Arabidopsis thaliana: one gene and its partners. The protein of the gene in region 2 interacts with the protein of the main gene of each other region in a pairwise test. Each region holds a gene or a part of one and is shown on either strand. Other genes may lie near its edges.

Region 1 (3,229 bases), on a different chromosome or scaffold from region 2:
ATAGAGAGATTTGGATGCGTGCGAGTGACTGTGAGACACGTGCAAAGATATGGATGATGACTTCAAATCAATGTTATGACTTTCATAGTTTACACATATGTCATCCAACTTTCCTCCTTTTTAGATATTTACAATTTCGGCGTTTTGTTTTTCATATTCATCGAATTTTTTGGAAAGTAATTCTAGTCCAGTAGTCCTAATTTTTGTTTACATTTTAATGGTGCACCTGTAGTTACTGCAGCTGGAACATATTGGTGATCTCTACTAATGTGTAGCTTTTATTTAATTGAAGATTTGTTACATCTGATTTTTTGTAGTCGAAAGTTCATATGTTTTCGCTAAAGGAGAAAAAAAACTTGCAGGAATATAAATATATACACAAACACAAAGTTTGTCAGGTTAAAATGATTAGAATATTAAAGTTTGGAGATTTGCTCATAACATTAAAATAATAAATTCAGGAAAAAAAGACAACATAAGAGTTTTATTTTAGGCAGCACATCGTCTATTTGGCATTACAACCAATAATTTAAATTTCAATCAGATTTTGATCGAATTTTATAAGATGTACGTATAAACGGCCATGTGTGGTACTTTAGGTATTTCGGTAACCATGATTAATTAAGAAAAGGAAAAAAGAAAAACACTATAATACATGCTCTTGTTCTTAAAGAAATCAAGAGAAAAAAAAAAACACAGATGATTTTCGTTTAAAGACAACAAAAAAAACATGAAACAAACTATAAATTATACACTTAAACTAAAAGTCAAGTACTATCTTGAACAATGGACTTGAGAGCAATCGTCTGCAACTCAAGACATTTAATGTAGTTACCAATCTCACTCAACATTTCTTCCACATTCATCTCTTCCCCACCTGGCAAAAGCTTCTTCAATTCCCTCAGTCTCTCCTCTATCCCTCCTTCTTCGTTTCCGCCTTCTTTATCGGGTCTTTCAAGAATCCGAATTCCATCGGAAGAAGAACTAGTGGTAGTGGTTGGATTCGATGAGGACGATAGCTTCTGCAGCAAGAAACGGCTCCATGCAAATTCTTGAGCAGACAAAGCCAAAGCCATATCTACTTCATGCTTCACGGTTTGTTTTGAAGAGTTCTTGTTCATGTTGAGCTTCTTGAGTGCAGGAACCAAGTGGCTTGTGTATTTTCTCGTGAAAACTGCACTAGGGTTCTTGTTTGGTTCAAGAGAAAACACTCGTTTCTTCCTGTTTATGATTTGCCTCTCCATATGAGAAACTATTTTTGCTGCAAATGAAAGTCTACAAGGGAGAAAGTTACATATATAGCAAACTTAGAATATGAGAGAGACAAAGAAAGAGAAGAGCGGTGTCCTACGTTTGTTTGTATATAACAAGCGTTGATGATGTATAAAGTAAAGTTGTAGAACTTAATTTTCTTTGTATACATATATGAGGTAATATGTTTGGGAGTGTTATTATTTTTCGTTCACGTACAAAACACAAGACTATTTGAAAGTCGTAGTTAGTAGTTTTCTTTTTTAGACAAATATTTTAAAAACAACGGAATTTGAATATCATCAACTAATATATGTTTTTTTGTATAATACATTTATTTTTAGAAAATACACGAAAACAAAAAGAGAGTGTGTATATATATATATATATATATATATATACATAAATAAAGAGAGAAAAATAAGAAAAGAAGAATTTGGGAATAATAATGGGTGAGGGAAGAAAAAACACATGGAGTCACATGCAAGAGCTCTAATTTGGCTGCATCACAACTACCCCTAAAGAGGTGCTTTGAGAGACCCTTTTACCATGTGGCTCCATTCCAAGAACAAGACATCAATACAAAACCCCACCTTCTCTTAATGCTTTCACATGTTCCTTCCTCTTAACCTCTCTCTCTCTCACTCACTCACTCACACACTTTGTATATACATAATACATGTATGCATGTGTATGTGTCCTTGGACCAATCTCCTAATTAGTTTGATCAATCTATGTCATTTCTACCCATATTATCTTAATATAGATCTCCCTCATATTATATATACCATTTGACCTTCTTTTTTTTTATGCTGCATGTGTGATGAATTTGGGTTTCACTACCCACTACTTTTGCGATATTTGGATACAGATGGTAACTTGCTAAACAGAAATTTAGTTATTATTAGTGGTAGTTCAATTGGTGATCTGTACAACATATCAAGACAAACATCTTTGAAACTGAATTTTACTGCCACTGTAACTAATATGACGTAGATACAAGTTTCTTTACTACGCATATTAACATAAAGTTAAGATGCATGTGGTCAGTAATTGGGTTATTAATACGTTTTATTTGTCAAGGACTTTTAGTCGTGATTTTTTGATTCTAAGCATCATTGCATTCCAGGTTTAAAGATGACTTTAATTTTTCCTATAGGATTTGTAAATAGATAAATATAGTTTATGTTGACACAAAAGGTCACCTTTGATATGATATGAAAGTCTGGGTGTTACTCATTTGTTATTTTATTTTTATTTTTTAAAATATATACCGAATCATTTAGATATATATATATATATATATATATAATAATAATAATAATAATAATAACAATAAAATGTCCAAACAATATCTATAACTACTAAACATGGGCGGTTGAGACATTACAAGTTGTCTCTTAATCTTATAGTGTTTGATACATGCAATATACACGTTACTAGCTTTTGTTGTTAATAGCCAAAACTGAATGATCTCTTATTGGTTTTGTTGTGTTCTTTATCCTACCACACAAAAAAAGTCAAGGGTTAGTAGATTATCAATCAATGCAGCAAGGAAATTTTATTTCTCTTTTGTAAATAATCTTTTTTTTTGTTAGAATGTGATGTTTTCTCGTATTATATTTTAATGCAATCCCATAACCTTTGATTGAATGTGGAAAACATGTGTTAATGGTAACCCATCTAGATGAAATTAATTAATCTATAAACTTTACTAAATACAAGTAGATAAAAGTACATAAAGGTAGAGGAATTTTCTAGTTAAAAACAAACGAAATAATATATATATATATATTGGATATATATATATATATATATATAATCTAAGAGGAGAAAGAAATTGAGATGCAAACTAATAGATGTGGATACCAAAATAGATACTAGACATTCACACCTATAGTAGACATTGAACAATAATGCATATAATCATAAAAGTTTCTTGGAATTTTGCTTAATGGTTTTCCACCTTTGACAATCC
Region 2 (5,668 bases):
AAAAGCTCGAGCAGTCAAAGCTCAGACAACAATGGTGAAGTAGGTGGAAGTTCAGACGCAGATAGTTGGTCGACTGTGCAAGAAAGAGCTTTGGTTCAAGCTTTAAAGACATTCCCGAAAGAGACAAGCCAAAGATGGGAGAGAGTAGCTGCAGCTGTCCCTGGTAAAACGATGAACCAATGCAAGAAGAAGTTTGCAGAGCTTAAGGAAATCATTAGAAACAAGAAAACCGGAGTATGAGGTAAAATCATTTCGGAGTCCCATGAGAATTTTGGGTTTTAATCCTCTTGGGGCACCGTTACTTTGCGAGAAGCAAGACCTAAAACTTTTTTATTATTTGTAATGATTCATTTCCCTTTGATGTCTCTATATATTGAGAGTGCTGGAGCCACTATTATGGAGTATGTTGTTTTTTACATAATCTTATGTAACGTTTGATTAGCGTCTAGTTTCAAGTTGTGAAATAAAGCGCATCGCTCATGCTGCTGTGTCTCCGGTCCCAATTAGAGGTTGGGCTACAATAAGCCCTAATTTTGATTTGCTTCTTTACAATCTAAACAAAACCAATCGAGCTAGTATGATGGAAGTAGCAGGAACAAGAAATGAGTATATATAAATGCCTTCCAAGTATAAGAAAAATCAGGTGAAGAAAATCCAAATTTTTACCAAGTCCACAAATCTTCTCTCAACTATAACAAACCACCAAGTCATGTAAGCCAGGTGCATGAAAATACAGAAAGATTCAAATTGTGTGATATGGTTCATTTTGTTACAGCGACCAAACAGGAGGCATATTGGTCCATCCATAAGACCCGACGCCTCGTGGTGCTTGACCTGATGATGACCCAACAGTCACGTAACTGTTCCCAATGTCGTCACCACCAAGAAGTGCAAGCGCATCACTCATGCTGCTTGTGTCACTAACAATGCCATAACAGCCTTGGTCAAGCCAGCTCGACGCAAGTAAAACATCAGGCCGTGTTATATCAACTCTCTTTGGTTCCCAAACCTGATCCAACTCTTCTGTCTTTACAACATTCCCTGCAAAAGCTTCATATACGAAAACCAACACAGCTGCATAAGAATCAATATGGAACAAGAGTAGATAAGATACCAATCAACAAGTAACTTTGATCAACTCACCTGATGAAAAACCACCTGCACTAAGTTGCGAGGGACTTGTAATCTCGGAGCGACCCAAATACTTTTGGGAATCTTCATATTCTCCTGATTTGATCAGGTTTTCGCTGCCACGTGGTACATTCTGAGTAACATTGGTCGTGCAAGTAGTTGAACTGAAACTCTTCTGGGGTGATGACATCAACAAACTGTGCTTCGCACTAGTTTTGATCTTGGCCTCATGAAGTAACATATCTAGTAGGCCGGTGTCGCATGAAGAGAAACAATCTGACTCCTCTACCTGCGATGGTGGTGGAGATTGAATATAGGCATCAACAGAGTCAAGGAGATCTGAGTGTGGAGGTGACGGAGTCGTCTTCCACTGATCAAATGCACTAGTTTCTGAATATTGGAATGAAGGGAGCTCCAGCTTCACTGCCCCAAACAAGGGCTTAGAAGTAGGATGCATGCCATACGTAACTGTATGGCTATCAGGAACCATCATCATATGAGACGAATGTTGGTTTTCATAAGGATGATGATCAACATCACAAGGCGAGATACTGCAAGATCTGGGATTCTTCTGTACAGCCGTATTCTGAAAGTGTTCCGGCGATTGGAATTCATGCTTTATGTTACTGCTGCACATGGGAAACCGAGATCCAGATTCCCAGATTTGCTTTGGGGAAGGCAATATTGGTGGCATGTAGCTCTCATACCGGGAAGAACTTGCGCCAGTTCCTAGCATGTTGCATGCAACCAAATCTGATAGGTCAGAAGCGGCAGGTAACAAGCTAGCAGCAAAATTTAGATCGTCAAATAAGACATTATCTTTAGAATTCCCCAACTGCAAGAAATCTTGATGTCTTCTTCTTCTATCTACTCTTATGATATTACTCTTTGTATACTCTTCGCTCCAATGAAGGTCATCAACATAGATTTCAGGAGGGTAAAGTGGTAAGCCTGCTCGTTGTCTCCTCTTGATACGAGTGTTCCAATAATTCTTTATCTCATTATCTGTTCGACCAGGTAACTGGTAAACAAGAAGAAAACATCATACCAGAGATTAATTAGTCTTTAGGCTCACAAAGAATATCAAAATATGAAAATGGACCATGATCAGGTAGCTTCCGCAGTTACAAAACTACTTACATGTTCAGCCATCTGTGCCCATTTATTTCCCATCTTGGCGTGCATTTCAACAATGAGCTGTTCTTCTTCTTGGCTAAATGCTCCTTTCTTCAAGTTTGGCCTCAGATGATTAGCCCATCTCAGACGACAGCTTTTACCACAACGGGCCAGGCTAGTGTGTTTCTGCACAGCATTCCAGTTACCCTCGCCGTGCTTCTTTACATAATCAATTAAAATCCCGTCTTCAGTTGAAGTCCATGGTCCTTTCTTCAGGACACTTCTTTTCCCTCTACTTCTGCAGCCATTGCTAATACTATCAGGAGCTGGTGATTCATTATGGATGCTGGAGTGCATACCATCATCACTATCAGCAGTCGCCGTCGTGTAACTCATCTCTTTCTACTTAAAGCAAGACAGACTCCAGCAGTTCAATAACAATTTAGACATCAAGCTCCAACCTGAACCAATTAAGAGGAAAAAGAGACAAATTAATATTTCAGCCAGCATTCATGTAGTTATCAACAAAATAATGACATGATAAACTTGTAAAAGGAGGCGATAATTGAAAAATATGTCTAGTAGATTCATCATATCTACCGCTGAGATATGAGTTGATACTAGGCAACAACTAAAAGTCTGTAATGAAATTTCTACAGAACACTAGTGACACCATTTTGACGAATAGATTTCGTATTTGAATGAAAATCCAGAAATGGAAACCAGAAACTAGCTAAGCACCATTTTATAGCTCTGATACTTTGAAATGACTTCTGTATCAAATTCGCAATCTCTAAATCTTAGTTCCAATTTCGAATACTAATAAATCGATTTTCAATGAACCAGAAATTACGATTGAACAATCAAAATCCATATATACAAGAATCAAAAAGCAGCAACTAAAGGTACAACAAAGACGAACCCTAGCTGAGGTAAAAGTAAGCTCTATATTGAGTATCTAGCAATCTGAATACAATCAGCAAACCATAGACAAATACGAAGTCGTCGAGATCTACAACATGAGACGAAATCGGAGCTCGAGTTTGAGCTGAAGATATCCGATTTGGTTATCGGAAAACACACAAATCGTAAATTTGAATCGGAAAAACGTTAGCTAAAAATATCAAGCTCAACAACTGATTAGAGAGAATGAAAACAGAGATTGAAGATCAGAGATCCGTGGAAATGGATTCAAGAGCTAGTAACGGAAGAACAATCTAGAAGAAGAAGAAGAAGAAAATATTACCAGGAGTGGGAGAGAGATAACGCGGGAAAAAGCTCGAGAGAAGATATCTCAGAGAATCGACAGAGACAAGGATGGAGAAAGAGATCAAAGTAACAGAGGAAGAAGATTCATCAGAGCTGAACAGAAGTGGAAAAAAGAGATGAATTTAGAAATAAACATCAAAATATTAAAACTCTCCTCACTTAATTAATTATTTTGCTTTTTATTTCCGCGTTATAAATAAATTATAGAATAAAAAAAACACTAAGAATCCAATATCTTTATTAGAAAATCAATTAACTCAAAAAAAATCCCGTATCTTTTTTATCAATTTTAAAATTTTATAAAATTCAAAGATTTTAGGTTTAAAAATAATAATCGTAATATTAATATTTACGAAATGTATCATTTAAAAATAATTATGGATAAAGGTTTGGTATAATCGTATACGTCTTGATAAAAAGGAACCCACCAAACATAAATTGGAATGTTGTACTTTAATTTAATGATGTATAAATGAGCTTATTGACGTAGATACGTTGAGATTACGAGAATCCGCACTCATATTAACTACTGTACTAGTGTCATTCATTCTTTGTCAACTAATAGATTATGACAGTGATTCTCTAGCTAATCAGACGATTGGCTTGAATCTGTTTCATGTCACAGCTTCTTCACTATATAATATACATAGTAAATATTTGTTGTCAGAAGTATATAATGATGAATAATTTGGTTCTTATTAAATTATAAAAAATAAAAATTGGTTCTTTTTTTTTTTTTTTTCCTTGGGCTAAAAGCCTAAAACCCAAAGATTTTTAACTCAAATTGAGGAACTGCTATAGTAGGATCCACATGTGCCCATATTGATTTCGGCATCGAAGAAAAACAAAAAATTGGGCTTTAAAAGTGGATCTTCATCATCCATGAAGGTGGTATATCAATTCATCTACCGACATTTGTATTACAAAATATTATTGAGATAGTAGTAACCAATATGTTAAAATTCAACCATAGCACTGTTTTCCATCTAGTTAACAATTAGCTAAAGCCTTTGAGGAAAGAGGAAGGTGAGCGAGCGCGTGGACCTCGTGATCCTGAATAGCTCACGTATTGTTTGTGGCCTGAATTCTGGTTATGTACATAAATAATGTTGTATGAAGATAAGTACAGGCCTGACGCAAGCCCGACAATACAAGAAAAATGATAAAAGAGAAAGATGATAAAAATGCTAATGTACCATATATATGATCCATTGCACCAAACCCACAAAGATAAAAAGGTGCTTTCGGCTTTTTGGCTTATGTTTTGAGACTCTAGAAATAAATATATTCTACTAATAAGTGTGGTAATGTATTGTTCAACATATATCTTTCAACGCTGCCGAATTTGAATTCGAATTATGTTTATTTATAGTCTTATAGAAACTATTTGATTCAATCAATTAGAATACAAATAATTGGTTTTTAAAAAGAAGTTACATAAAGTATGTGAAGAAAGGGATGGAGGGAATAATAATATAGAAATATGGAAAGCAGTGTAACTTGGTAAACGTACGAGGAACGTAAAGAGATCAGTTCCACTTCTCCGTGTCTCACGCTTGTCTCTTCCCTCTCTACCTTTTCTCTATTTCGTTTCACACCTTTTATTTCATCTTAAAACTTGCTCACTAGTAAAAGAAATTCTGACGATTTTCAGCAAACCATTACTGATGATTAGTGTTTGATCTTTAAATTCGCTGACTAAATAGTTGGAAATTTATTTGACGGTATAACTAAAAATTATCTAACCAAATCAAATATTTAAAATCCACCATATAGAGTAACGAACTTCGACAAACTTAATACATTTCGATGGATTCTTTAGCATGAGTGATCTGGTAATTTGATATCATAGTTGATGGCTTGAACACAAGATAAAACGATTTATACAGTCTTTTGTAGACTAACAAATATCTATATATGGGTACGGTTATGGCAAATGATATGGTTTGAATTGAATATGGATGACAAAATTGGCCTCTATTAGACGTTTGTACTTTGTACTAATGACCTGAGTATCTGAGATCTCAGTTAACGTATTTTTAATTTGTTAATTATATATATTTTATGCACATCATTGGAGAAAACACCAAATAGGCTCTTCTTTATCGCTTCATATATATAAAAGTCTACATCTATCTCTTTCTAGGTCACT
Region 3 (4,385 bases), on a different chromosome or scaffold from region 2:
TCTTCACAATAATAGGAGAAACCAAATGTTATGTCAAACTTGTCATCACACAACTCAAAGCACCTTGACACTTACATTTTGGGCTACATTTTGACAGTAATACGGTAACTAACAACAATTTATATGAAAAATCAGTAGATTAAATTACCAAATACATATAAATATGTTTCAGTAAAAAATAAAGAATGTGTGCTAATGCTTAGATATTTATACAGAGTGAAAATGACCTAAAGAAGCAGAACTGTCCAGAAGAGTTAATTTACTCTCTTTTATTTTCTGTTATCATAAGGAAACGGTCACGAGAAAGACACAAACTCACCAGTTACCACTTGCAAAAAGAGAGTTCAACCTTTAGAGATTCTTCTGTCGTTTAACGTCGTCGTTTCAACGTTTGTTCCCTCTAGATTCATTGTACCACAAAATAACAAAAGTGGCGCACTTCTCTAGGCAATCACTTTGATGATCAGTTGATCACCGCTTTTTTTCTGATCACAAATTTACGAGAACCGGTTTGGTTCAAACTTAGCTTGTGACTTCTTTGTTATGTTCAACAGTTCTCACATACTCTTAGTAGCATACAAAGAAGATTTATTTGATTAAACAGATGAGAGGTTCAAACACATTATGACAAATGTTAAAGGAGTTTTGGGGCATAAAGTAACAAAAACAAAACACAAACGAATTCAAAAGATTCACTAAAACAAAAACTACCACAACCCCTAAAAATAAGCCTCTACTTAACTTCATCACAACTACCCTCAAGATAGAGGCTCATGGCTTCTCGCAATGCAAACAGGAACTCCTGAGAGAGACAGACAGAGACAGCAGAAGAAGATGCAAGTAACAGACATTAGAAAGTTTTGGAGGTTGATAAACGAACGATGCGGGAAACTCACAAACATGCAGCCTTATTTACATGAAACTGGATCTCTTCAGAAGACTCCTCCAATCATGGAATGAATTTCATCAATACTCCATAGGTCCATAGGGTTTGCACCATTGTCCTGAGTCGTTACAGCATCTTCGTTGAGGAAATCCAGTGAAGCGTCCCATTCAGTGTTGTTGTAAGGTGTCTCGAAATCCATAGACTTGAGCTTCTTAGCTGGATTGGCTTCCTCAAAGAACAGAGCTGAGTTGTTGTTGTTGATAACCGCAGAAGAGATGTCGGGAGTTATCGGAGCTTGATCGCTCCAACCAAACTCCGAACAATCGAAAGAATTACTACCCTGGTCAGAGCTGAAATACTGATACCCATTACATCCAGCATCAACGGAGTTTGTCATCCCAAACTGGTTGTTGTTGTTGTTGCTCACTTGGTGTTTCTCCTCCATGAAACACATATTTTCAAAGGAGATGTTCGAGTTCTGAACCAAAGCTGGACTTGGGTTAGGGTTAGGTTTAGCCACTGGTTTCTGAAGATTAGCCTTCACAGAGCGTTTCTGAGAATTAGCCTTCATGTTTTCTTCAGGGAAATTCACCTTAGCTTTAGATCCACGGATTCTCCGCGCTGCAGCATCGTAAGCTCTAGCAGCTTCCTCAGCTGTCTTGAACGTTCCAAGCCAGATTCTAGCACCTTCCCTTGGATCACGTATCTCAGCAGCCCATTTTCCCCAAGGACGTTGCCTAATCCCTCGGTACTGATTCTTCCTCTTCCTATTTGCAGATTTCTCAGCGTCCCCATCCAAGCCAGTAACTTTCTTACCAAAAACTGAACCTAGTAGTGAAACAACAACAAAACAAAAGAGTTCTTCTATAAATAACTCATCAACAATCTCTAATCAAATCTCATCACACAAATCAAGTCTCATCACTCAACCTCATATGCATATAAATATCACACAAATCAAACCTCATGCTTTATACAACAATCAAAATCGTAAGCAGATAAAGGTATCTATGAACAGAGCTAAATAGAATCGAAACTTAATTTCTAACCAATTCAATCGCTCAAACTAAAGTCAATCCCTAAATATTTACCTTCCGCAGCGGCGGAGACGGCGGGTTTTGGAGTCGAAGTGAAAACGAATGGTTTCACATCGGCGAAAACATCACCGACGTCGAAATCATCATCGCAATCGATAGACGAATCATCTTTGAAACCTTGGAAATCAGCTTCGAACTCAGCGTCAAAATCGAAGAAATTCGAACGATTCTTCGAGCTTTTCTTCGATCCTTTCAAATTCTTCTTCAGATCCGGCCAAATAAACTCGCTAGTAACACGGCGAGACCTCGGCGGTGGAATGAAATCGGATATTATAGCTCCTCCACACATGGCGGCGATTCTTGAGGGTGTAAATGTTCGAAAACAGAATCTTAGCGGCGAAAATGGAAACTAATTGATACTTTTGGGGGTTATATCTTTGCTTCTTCTTCTCTCTTCAACGCTTTGCTTTGTTGTTTTCTTCAGAAAGAGATTTTAGAGTAAAATAAAAGATGAAGCGAGTACGATGGTTGTTTACTATTATACCCTTATCTTGATGTACTATTTACGGTACTACCAGACTTTTATATTCATTTACTGTAGATCTATATTGTAAATTAGGATTTTATTAGTTTATTAATAGTTAGTTGCAGTAAATAAGATTAAAAATTTAGTCAGAGTTGTCTGCTGGTAGACAAAAATAGTCTAAACAAATTTTTACCTAACGTCAATTGATTTTTTCATAAAGTCTATTTCCCTTAGATCTAGTATCTATTAATGTGATTAGGCATTAAAAACACAACTAAATACTTTTGCAATGTTGTTTGCATTCAGGAGTAGCCAACGCAGAACAGATATTTAACATTTAAATTTAAATAATATTATAAATGAATTATGAAAATGTTTTAACATAGGCACAAAATAAATGAATTATTGAAAATATAATGAAAAACTATACAACAACTTTTGAATGTAATTTTGATTAGGAGAGAGGACCATTAAGACCTTATGCTGTTATGCATAAGGCTAAAATTGTAAAAGCATAGAAACACATTTATGAATCTGCGTGTGCAGGACACGTACGATATTATTGAAGCTTTTTGAGCAAGTTGATAGGATTTGGTTTTTATGACAAAGCTTTTGTCGTTTCGTGACAAACAAAAAAGTTATTAAAAATAATCCGAAAAATATATTTGTCCTTTTGTTTGATAACTAGCATTCCAAATCAATTACTAGTTTTCTTAAACTCAATTTAAAATTTCCTTGTAATTCTGTTTACTCTTAACTAACTTTATTAGGTCCAAATTATCAGGCATCGTAAATTACGGAATATTCAGTAGGTATGTGTTATGTGTATGTGTACGTGGAAACCATATTTTGTTGTTTTATGGTGAAATATATTTTATGGTTGCAACTTTCTAAATTATGTATAAACAACTATTGGAAATTCAGTTAAAAGAAAATTTTATTTTATAAAATTCAACTTCATACGTGTATAGTTATACTACATATAATATATATATATATATATATATATATATATATTAGTGCAATCATGTACTATATATTTATATATTAAGATCAAATTGTGAACGCAAAGAAAGACAGATGAATAAAATAGGTAGGGTCCAAATCATTTTACAGGATTGAGACAAGTTCCTAAATTAGCTTATCTCAAAGAAACAGATAATGATGTCAATATGTCATTCATGGAGCAATTATTTGTTTCACTATTTTAACTTTTAATAATTGACTATACTCGTTTCGGAACTGTACATTAGTACAATTTCTTTGTGTTTATAGATATAAACCTTATGTTTTGTTTTTCTAACCAAATTTATAAGAAGCAAAACAAATTCCAGTAGTTGATTTTTTGTTCACTAACTGGAATTCTTAAATCTGAACATAACTTCTCATTAATTGGAATCATTGGATGGATACAAAGTGAAATCATTTTACACAAGGCAAGTTGTCTTTTTGGGCCGAATCGCTAAGATAGTGGGCTTCATAGGTCGAGTTATAGGCACTTGCATTTAGTTTAATTGATTGGCCTTTTAATTGGGCCGAGACCACGAACCTGCTTAGTTACTCGTGACAGTGTGACACTATAAAACAATAAATTAGTTGGGGAATTGGGTTGAACAAAGTGATCACTTGACAAGTAAAACAATAATTCCAATTGTTTAAAATACAGTATTTTGGCCTGTACATATTCAACACGTGACTAAATGAGTTGTTCATATCTTCTCAACCAAAGAGTGTCTATGTCCCTGTCACATACATTTAAAATATCTCCCATACATAAAAAAAAAAGAAGCAAATCGAATAATTTATTTATCAGAGAGATTTTCTTCTTTAAAATAATTCTTTATCCAGTTCATATCCATCATGTCACGATCCAATCTGAATATTAAAATGTTCTTCGAATTAATCAGATTTAGTTATGAAATATGAGTCATATCTC

What was found.
Region 1: the proteins of MYB65 (region 2) and AT4G30180 interact in a two-hybrid assay, tested with the Arabidopsis thaliana proteins (one large-scale study listed by BioGRID).
Region 3: the proteins of MYB65 (region 2) and RAP2.12 interact in a two-hybrid assay, tested with the Arabidopsis thaliana proteins (one large-scale study listed by BioGRID).

Annotation. Positions count from the first base shown.
Region 1 is NC_003075.7:14,767,043-14,770,271, reverse strand, and holds AT4G30180 (uncharacterized protein), read right to left. Parts: upstream 1,489-3,229; 5' UTR 1,245-1,488; coding exon 768-1,244; 3' UTR 501-767; downstream 1-500.
Region 2 is NC_003074.8:3,600,031-3,605,698, reverse strand, and holds MYB65 (myb domain protein 65), read right to left. Parts: upstream 3,664-5,668; 5' UTR 3,494-3,663; intron 3,351-3,493; exon of another isoform or gene 3,170-3,350; intron 2,816-3,169; exon of another isoform or gene 2,709-2,815; 5' UTR 2,644-2,708; coding exon 2,272-2,643; intron 2,153-2,271; coding exon 1,144-2,152; coding exon of another isoform or gene 1,118-1,143; exon of another isoform or gene 1,051-1,117; coding exon 770-1,050; 3' UTR 527-769; downstream 1-526. Other genes in the region: AT3G11450 (DnaJ and Myb-like DNA-binding domain-containing protein), read left to right, coding at 1-240. UniProt on the Arabidopsis thaliana protein: Transcriptional activator of alpha-amylase expression that binds to 5'-CAACTGTC-3' motif in target gene promoter. In vegetative tissues, inhibits growth by reducing cell proliferation. Promotes the expression of aleurone-related genes (e.g.
Region 3 is NC_003070.9:20,133,129-20,137,513, reverse strand, and holds RAP2.12 (uncharacterized protein), read right to left. Parts: upstream 2,671-4,385; 5' UTR 2,273-2,670; coding exon 1,978-2,272; intron 1,715-1,977; coding exon 933-1,714; 3' UTR 501-932; downstream 1-500. UniProt on the Arabidopsis thaliana protein: Transcription factor involved in the activation of hypoxic gene expression and in ethylene response. Partially redundant with RAP2-2. Acts as a downstream regulator in the ethylene signaling pathway.